2 linked regions of the Oryzias latipes genome follow. The protein of the gene in region 2 interacts with the protein of the main gene of each other region in a biochemical or structural test. Links are inferred from orthologs where the notes say so. Each region holds a gene or a part of one and is shown on either strand. Other genes may lie near its edges. The genes, in order: proheparin-binding EGF-like growth factor and zbtb16.

The links.
Region 1: the proteins of zbtb16 (region 2) and proheparin-binding EGF-like growth factor form a complex in vitro, tested with the Homo sapiens proteins (2 studies listed by BioGRID). The link is inferred for Oryzias latipes from reciprocal best matches to the Homo sapiens genes ZBTB16 and HBEGF.

The regions. Positions count from the first base shown.
Region 1 is NC_019868.2:19,603,350-19,607,828, reverse strand, and holds the start of proheparin-binding EGF-like growth factor, read right to left. Parts: upstream 2,930-4,479; 5' UTR 2,704-2,929; coding exon 2,661-2,703; intron 2,097-2,660; coding exon 1,863-2,096; intron 1,756-1,862; coding exon 1,557-1,755; intron 1,476-1,556; coding exon 1,323-1,475; intron 1,227-1,322; coding exon 1,154-1,226; 3' UTR 1,146-1,153; intron 1,042-1,145; 3' UTR 1-1,041. UniProt on the Homo sapiens protein: Growth factor that mediates its effects via EGFR, ERBB2 and ERBB4. Required for normal cardiac valve formation and normal heart function. Promotes smooth muscle cell proliferation. May be involved in macrophage-mediated cellular proliferation.
Region 2 is NC_019872.2:25,466,416-25,470,741, forward strand, and holds the start of zbtb16 (zinc finger and BTB domain-containing protein 16), read right to left. Parts: upstream 3,111-4,326; 5' UTR 2,704-3,110; coding exon 1,466-2,703; intron 1-1,465. UniProt on the Homo sapiens protein: Acts as a transcriptional repressor. Transcriptional repression may be mediated through recruitment of histone deacetylases to target promoters. May play a role in myeloid maturation and in the development and/or maintenance of other differentiated tissues.

The sequences.
Region 1 (4,479 bases), on a different chromosome or scaffold from region 2:
ATGTATGCTTTCAGTTCTTGCTAGAAAATGTAAAACTTTACTTTTTTTAAAAAAAGATGCACAGAAACAGAGATGAGTTTGAGTCTTTGCATTTCCTACTATCAGCACCAAGCTCTTCGTTGCAGGATAGTATGATGATCAGTTTAGCGCCTTTGAGCACATAGAGCCTTCAGGAAGAAGGAGTGAAAGCGATGTAGCAGGGCTCAGCCCTCTCTCGTGTACAACCCAAATTTTAACTTGAACACAAAACTAGTGATTGTACTGGTTGCCAAGCACAACCGAGTCTATCTGGTTGGCTTTCTGGCATTTTTCCCAATTTTTTACAGATTAGAATGACAACTTCTTGAAAAACCAATTTCTTATAATTTAAATATTGTTTTTCATCCCAGCGCTTTCTGATAACAGGCTTTTTGACAAATTTACAGATTGCATAAATTAGACTACAGAGTAGTTCAAGGTGGCATTTCTCCTTTTTCTCCTAAATAAATATCGTCCAATATAAAATGAAACGTAACAGTAACAATTGAAAAACAGCTAAAGGTGGTTAAAAAAAATTCACCATAAATACAGTTAGCTTAAATAAATAAATTAAAAATATAAATATAATTTTTTAATGTACACACAGAAAAAAAACGGACCTTGCTCCAAAACAAATGTCTGAATTAAAAAATGTTCAGTCAATCCGGCTGTTAAAAACTTCAGTTCCATTTAAAAAGGTTTGTTTCTCCTCTGTTCACACAGCCAGGAGGCAGCAGATAGTCTAACCGGGATTCCTCTTTTTTTTTTTTTTTTTTTTTTTTTATTCTTCATGCTGAAACACCTGTAGTCCTTCTCCAGGGCCTTTCTTGTATTCCAGTTCCGGACAGGCCGGTCTTCTTCTGAGCCCATTGGGAATACTTGCAGCCGCCCATCTCTTCCATCTGTCTTGCAGAGCGTCCGGCAGACGTCTTCTGCCCCTTTTGTTACAGACTTTCCTGTTTCCTCCGGGGGACCTCCTGTTGCAGTTCATTTCTTTTTTGAGGTAGAGTTCTTCACTTTTGCCTGAAATGAAAAAAAGAAAAGAGATTTTGAGCTAAATCTCTTATTTCTGCTTCACAAAGTAGTTCTAGATTTAAAACTTTTAGGGAAATCTTCCAACTACTGACCTTTCTCTTCAGTGATTAGGCGTCAACCCCAATTTGACCTTCTCCTCACTCTCTATATCATACGCGCCCCGCTTGTGAAACCTGAAAATAGCAACAAGAAAAGAATAGAAAATGTCAGACTTTATGTTGGTTTTTTCATTTGCTTGTTTGAAATGGGACAGATTTGCTGTAACTCACCTGAGCATTAATAAAAGACCGATGATTAAAAGGCAGAGGGAGGACAGAACTACCGCCACCACGGCTAACGCTGTAGTCCTGTTGTACCCCGTGGGCACCTTAACAGGCAGCGTGATAAACTGACATCTTTCCCCAGAATAACTTGGGTGACATCTGCAAAGTAGATAAGGAGTTCGTTAAGAAAAAAAGCCTTCAATGTTTTGGTGTCTGGGAATCCGCAGTATCAATACTTACACACAGGAAGGGGCGCGGAGGTCCCTCAGGTACTGGCAGGTGCCGTGAATGCAGAAATCCTTGTATTTCTTCAGGCAGGGATTCCTCTTCCTTCCCAAACCTTTGCCCTTCTTCTTTCCCTTTCCTTTCCATGTCTTGCGCTCGGTTCTTTCAGCTTCCAGGATGGAAGACGGATCCTTGGGTTTGCTTGACATTGCAACTGAAGATCAGAACAAAGATGAGGAAAACAATCGTGGATTAGACAAGACAAATGCAAAACTGTTTTTTCTTAACATTAAAATATAGAGATGACAAATAAAGGCTTACCTCTTGGCAAGTCCATTTCATAGTCTCCAGAATCGTCATCTTCTTCCAGATAATCAAAGTAGGCTTCATCGTCATATTCCTCTTCCTGGTTTCCTGCTGTTGTGGCACTCAGGACCCAGTTCTCCACCTCCTCCCTCCTGTCCCTGGTTGTGTCCAGGTTTATGACAGTTGTGTCCTGCTGCCTGTCGTTCTCACGCCGGTCAACAGCTGCACCGCTGGTAACCTTGCAAACAGCTGGAAAAAGAGGGGTTTACAGTTAAAACACCAGAATGAGATGATCAGACTGGAAAAAAAAAAGATTTCTCTGGATTGCATCAAGAGGTGGGTGGATCCCTGTGGACAAGTTGAAACATGTCCTCCACAGGATACAGCAGGTGGCATACTGGGGCTTCTGCTGATTGCACTAGATGACTATTTTGTAATGCGCATGCTCAGATAAAGGGGATATTTAGTTAATAATTTAAAATTGGACTCAGATCCTGTGAGTCAGAATGTGGTTAGTAAATACTGCCTTATACACAGGCGCAAAATACATGACAGCCTCTCCTAATGTCACGGCAAGAATATGAGTTAAAAATAAATGTATCTAGTTACATAAAGCCTGGTTTAAAATAGAGAGAGCAGAGACGACCCTGTTAGGAGTCAGGACTCGCGCAGTTTGGGAAAACTTCATAGAAAGTTGAAGGTTTTTATGGCTGGATTATAACGCAAATATTAAGAAGAGAGGATGGAAGCCATGCGAATAAAAACAGACAATGATGCAGCGCAACAAACACAACTTTTTTACATGACACTTACCCAACGCGTAAACTAGCAGGAGCACCGTGCGTAAAGTCCTCATGTTAGGAAAGGTTTTAGGAAAAACAAATAAAAAAGTACAAAAAAGTATTCCGTCCAGGTTTTGAATAATCCTTCTGCTGCTCAACTTTTGATTAATGTTTTATTTTATTTTTTTTACGATATTTTTTTGTTCGTTTTTCGGCTATTCCCGAGTCTTCAGCGCGGATGAGGAGGTTGGAGCGGGACTGCATTGACAGCCTGTGTGGTCACTCCGGTGCCAGACGCCGTGCGTATAAATGTGCTCGCAGGCGTAGGCGTATCCAGGAGCAGGGCGGTCCATTATGGCATCATGAGGAGGGATCATTTTATTGTTTACACTAAATTTTGATCTAACCGTCTAAGTGCGTGGTGAATAATCTCGGTTTCCTGTTCTTAGTTGACAGGAGTGGCATGGATTTATCCTTTGTGGCTCAAACCTGTGAAATCTTAGTTACTGACATTGTTATTATGTAGTTCTAAGTATACACTGCAACCTGGTAAACATTATCTTCTGATATTTACATTCACAAAAGGTTGATTTTACTTATTTCTGCAGAAAATCTATTAAACTTGGTCTCAAAGTTCCAAATAAGGTCCAATGAGAGTGCAAGATCAGGAATAACAGACGATCAAACAACCTGAGCAATACTTTCAAATGTTTGGTTATTTAGATCTAAATAAATAATCCTGCGCCTATGAAACTAAATACGTTGATTAGAAAAAAATGATCATGTAACTAGTAACAATCATGCAAAATCTATGTGCGCCACTGTTTGGTTAAACTAGGTATTACACCTTCAAAGCAGGTTTGTTGCACAATTTGAAGTGCAGGAAATTTAGAATGGCAGCTTAGGGTGAATCTACTCATCCCTAGGGGTGTATTTTCAGGAATGTCATAAGATTTAAAACTGTATATTGGATTATACCCGGAGAGCATGTGCTTTTCTTTCTCACTTGAGAGAAAACAGAGTAGGCATTGTGGCTTATATCTCACAGTTGTTACTCCAGTTATGTTTAGTCATGATGAAGGATGAAGAATGACAATAAAATAGCTTGCAAAAAATGACAGGAGCAGAAACTTTCTTCACATCTCTTTAAACTGACATTGGTTTTATAACATTGCTACATTTAGTTTTAAAGCTTAATTAAAAAATTTCCATATCTGTCTATATATCAGAATATAAAGTGATGAGTTAGCAAAAACAAAGAGTAATTAGATTCTCTGTGTAGAGCTGTGGTGCACTGGTTTAATGTGTGTTTATTTATGTCTGTTTACACAAGTGCATAGCCAGCTGTTCCCCACAGTATTGAGTGGATTTGGACACCTTCCTACAACCAACAGTAAAATACATTGATAAAAGGAGGCTGAGTGTCAGGAAGGAAGCCTAGAAAAAACAAGAGGAAGAGGATGGACACAAGCAGAAGTATGATGTAAAGGGTGAGGCTTAATAGAGGCACCTGGTTGGCTGTGATGATCCCTGAGGCCTCAAAAAGTTTTTTTATAGGGTCTCCACTAAATGAAAGAATGAATGAATGAATGAATGAATGAATGAATGAATGAATGAATGAATGAATGAATGAATGAATGAATGAATGAATGAAAGTGAATAATAAGCCTTCATTATGACAAGTGCAAGTACAGGTCCAACAAAATTGCTCTATTTCTAGATGAGAAGAAAAAATAAATGAAATGGGATTTTTTAAAAATGATTTATAAGAACCCAAATGCGTTTCCCTTAAATGAAAACAATGTGAAATATATACCACAGACTAAGTAAGCCACAGAACATATCTCTGA
Region 2 (4,326 bases):
ATTTAAAATCTGATTCTGAGGGAAGTTTTATTTTGGAAAACTACTGGATTCTCTCCACCACATCCGACTCATTCTTGACGCATGTCAAGTCGCTCGATCAGGTGTTTAAAATCCATCCAAATTCGACAAAAAACAAACGTTTCTGAAAAGTTTCTTCTCACAGAAAAGAGTCAGTGAGGAAACGAGAAGAAGAGCCTTCAACTTCAAAATAAAAGAAATCTACATTTAACAAACAAAAACCAGGAGTCTTTACTCCAAATATGGATTCATTGTGACAGTTGTTCCCACAGACCATGATAATAATGCAGAATATTCATTAACTGGCTGTCTAATCTTCTGAGGATGCTGCAAATAAAGTTGTTTTAATGGTGTATTCACATTAATTATATTAATATATAATATATAATTATGGTATTTAGATAATACCAGTTTTTGTGACCGCTTTCCCTTTTTGTTTTTTAAATTCATTGCACCTTAAAAGTCAGACAAAGCTGAAGTTAGCTTCCATTCTTAGCTTCCACTTTGACAGTTATGGGTTAAAGGTAAATCTAAATCACATGTGGATGGTTCCTTCATAAAATCTAGTTTACAAACAAAGTTTAAAGCAGCTGCAGACATTTTACAGAGGGTAAAGATAAACTTTACCCACACAAATAAAATAAACGGATGGCCACTTTGGCCTTATACGTCCGTGAAAATATTGTCTGACAATAAAGCGGTCCGTAGTCTGAAAAAGTAAAAAAAGGTAGGAGACTACTGCTGCTCTGTGATCAATAGGAGGTTTTCTGAATGTGTTGTAAAATTACTCAGCCTTAAAGCTTTATTTATATGCAGCGACTGAAACAGTGCTGCGCAGCTGCCACTCTCCTGTCCTAGAACTACCTCCTTGTCTCGGGTTCAGCACTCATTTCCTGAGCTGACCGTCTACTCCAATTATCAAGCTAATAAGGGCCCCCCTTGTGCAGTTATGGGAAAAGGGAGGGGAGCAGGGTCCTGGATGAGGGAGCTCCACATTGGTAAGTGTGTGTGATAGCTGCCGCCCACATCTTGGAAGGTGTGACTAATGGTCTTGGACAATGTTAAGACAGCATTGCTTCAGCAGTCACCTGGGCAAGCTTGGCAGCTACTAAAGGAGTAAATCTCCGGTTCTGAGCTGGCGACTGCACAAAACTGGGCTTTATGTGACTGTAAATGGAACTCATGCAAGTGCAATAAAACAGAAACATAAAAGGATTGGGTCAATTGTTGTTAAAGTCGATCAAGTAGAACAAAAGAAAACCGCTTCACCCATTTTAAATAGTTTAAGCCTAAAAAGTGACAATATGTTTATAAAACCATTGAAATCGTCAATTATGTAAAAGTGTGTAATTTTAAAATCAAAATGCAGAAGATGCACCTATATGAGTTTTGAAATGGGATAAACTCAAAGACAAAGGAGACAGACTGGAGAGGGAAGGAAGCTTACCTGTGCTGCTCCACGGCTTCATTATCTGGTAGCTCTGCGCCGCAAACATTACAACGTTCATGCTGGTTCCTGCCGTCCGGTTTCATCCCCACTGCCAGCTCCCCGAGCTTGCTGAAGAACTCTCTCTGGATGAAGCTTTGCGGCAGCAGCCCCCCATACGCACTGAAGTCCATGGACATCGCCAGGGCAGGGGACATGGGGAGACCAGAAGCCATGGACACCGGCATGGACATCATGGCATCGGATTTATGATTGACAGGAAGCGAATATAGTGAGGCCAGGTGTTTCTCAGTCATTCCTGCCATTGCTTCCAGCCCCATCTGGCTGACTTCGGCTTGCTGGTCGCCCATGTTGTCATCACGGATATAATGCAGTTCTCGAGCGCTGGTGATCACGCTGCTCCTCGTTGGCGTTCCGGGACCATCTCGGTTCCTGTCCTCTCCGCTTCGCTCTCCGTTGCTCGAGACGCTGGACTCCATATTCTGAGGACTGTCATGTCCATTGCCACTCATGTCCACCTGCATCATCTCAGTCTTGATGTCGGTCATCAGGTGGTGGGAATTAATGTGGACGGGTTGCTCACCACCAAAGCCCTGCTGGAGCAGAGACTGGCCGATGCTCATCAGACTGTCCACAGCGGCTTTGGTGGGACTCAGGTTGGAAACACTGTAGGAGGTGGAGACAGAGGGACTCTGGTCAACCATGCCAGGCATGTTGGAGGCTTGCTGAGCTCCTGACAGGTTGGGAGTCTCCAGGGAATGCTTTTTGGAGTTCTTCGCTCCATTTTGGCCTTTGCGCTCCTCATCGTCTTCTGTGCTCCCATCATTAGCGTTGACATCCACATCATTCTCATCTGAGGACTGGATGGTTTCCAGGATCTTGAGGCATTGCTCCTCCAAGTATTCAATCTCCAGGATCTCGGCTGCATACAGAAGGTCATCCAAGTCCTCCACCTTGGCTTGAAGAGTGGCAGTGTAAGCATACTCCAAAATCTGCTGAAAAGTCTTTGGTGAAAGAAAGTCCAGGGTATAATGCTGGCTGCTGCGGTGGAAGAGGATCTCAAACATTTTGCTGGTGCAGGCAAGCACAGTCCGGTGAGCGTGAAACTCCTGGCTGTCGACCATGATGACCACATCGCACAGAGTCCCAGCCAAACGCATCTGGTTGGCCTTCTGCAGCAGGGCAGTGGGATGGTTGGGGTTCTGGAGCTGGATCATACCCATTTTAGTTAAATCCATGATATTGATGTAACCTGCCAGGCCGACTCATGAGGCTCGCTTTCCCCGCTCAGCAGAGATTTTAGCTGTTTTTGTAAACAAAGTCAAACCTGGATGGAAAAAAAAAGAGAAATGTCAACGGTGGAAACATTTTTTTATTTACAATTCCAAAAATGTATATTGTCCTTTATTTCAATATTCTGCTTGTTTTTATATATGTATAAAAAAATTGTGTGAAGCACTTTGTGTTGTGTTATATTTAAAAAGTGCTATATAAAAAAATGGTTTGATTTGATTTATGTTGTTGTCTAGGACAGTTTCTGCAAAGCGGCTGTATTTTATTAGAAATTCACCTCTTCATTAGAAATTTTGGCATGGAGCAACCCAACCCCCACTTCCTGTCACTCATCTGTGTCACAACATGCTCTCCCGCTAGCTTACTACCCCTCAAAACCCCAACCTACCATTACCTGAGCAACAAATACACTGATTAACATAGGAGCTACATGGCTGTACACTTTTGAGCCCGGTGCCAGCTCGGAGCTAGACGTACATCTAGTGGATGCATCTGCAAGTGGATGCATCAGAGTGGAGCGGAACAGGGAGCTTGTGGCTCGGCGTATTTTCTATATAACAAATACCGGTAAGCTCTTTTTCAAACTGCATTTATTGTCTGCTCCAGATTCACAACAATTTGGATAAATAAATACTAAGAAATGCAATTTTGAGCTTAATTTTCTTTATACATGTCCATCATCAGAAAAATATGACAAGAAAAACACAATTTTCATCAGAGTGCGTCTTTAAAGAGGAACATTTCTTCTAAAAAAGTGTTTAATATCAGACTTCTGCAGGCTTCAATTACAAACACATGAATGGGGAAGAATACTTAGTGGCGTTCTTATATTAGCAGACGGCACTGATTGGATTTTCTGAAGAGAGACAATTTGTTAGCTGTCCAACAGGCTCATCCTGCATACCAATAGGTCCAGCATATGTTATGTTAAAGAGATGTCTTCATTTGCTTATCTGATGGGGATATACACCAGTTAAACAAGGCTGAATTGTAGGCTCTCACTGCGTCTGGGTTCACAAAGACCGTCAGCAGCCTCAAATAGCATCTTACTCAGTATTCTCATCACAGACAGGAGCAGGAGAGCAGTGGCCAAAAAATGGGCGAAAAAGACAGCAAGATGAGGCAAAAACCCACAACACGGCCCCAGAGAGCGCCTGTGCTTGCAAATGTTGAAAATCCTGAATGAATGGGTGTCTGTGGGTACATTTTATAATTCAAGCTAACAGGGCAACATGTTGCTCCACCTCATTCCTGAAACCTGTTTGACCCATAATGAAAGCCTGGTTAAATTAAGATCCGGTCACCAGCATGCACCTAAGATGACCAACAAAACACAGATTTATTTCATTTATTTTATGGAAATAAAAAAAGAGGGCACAGAGTAGAAAGAGTTAAATCCATCCACTGACCCACATTCTGCCTGAGCCCATTGATGGCCTCATTTATCCAGTTCTATGACCAATTACAAGATTTGGCAGCTCATTTGGCTTTTTCCTCTTGATCTGCTCATTAATATGAAGAACATTCTCCCAAACTTCCACAGGAAAGTTTCATATTTATAATATTAA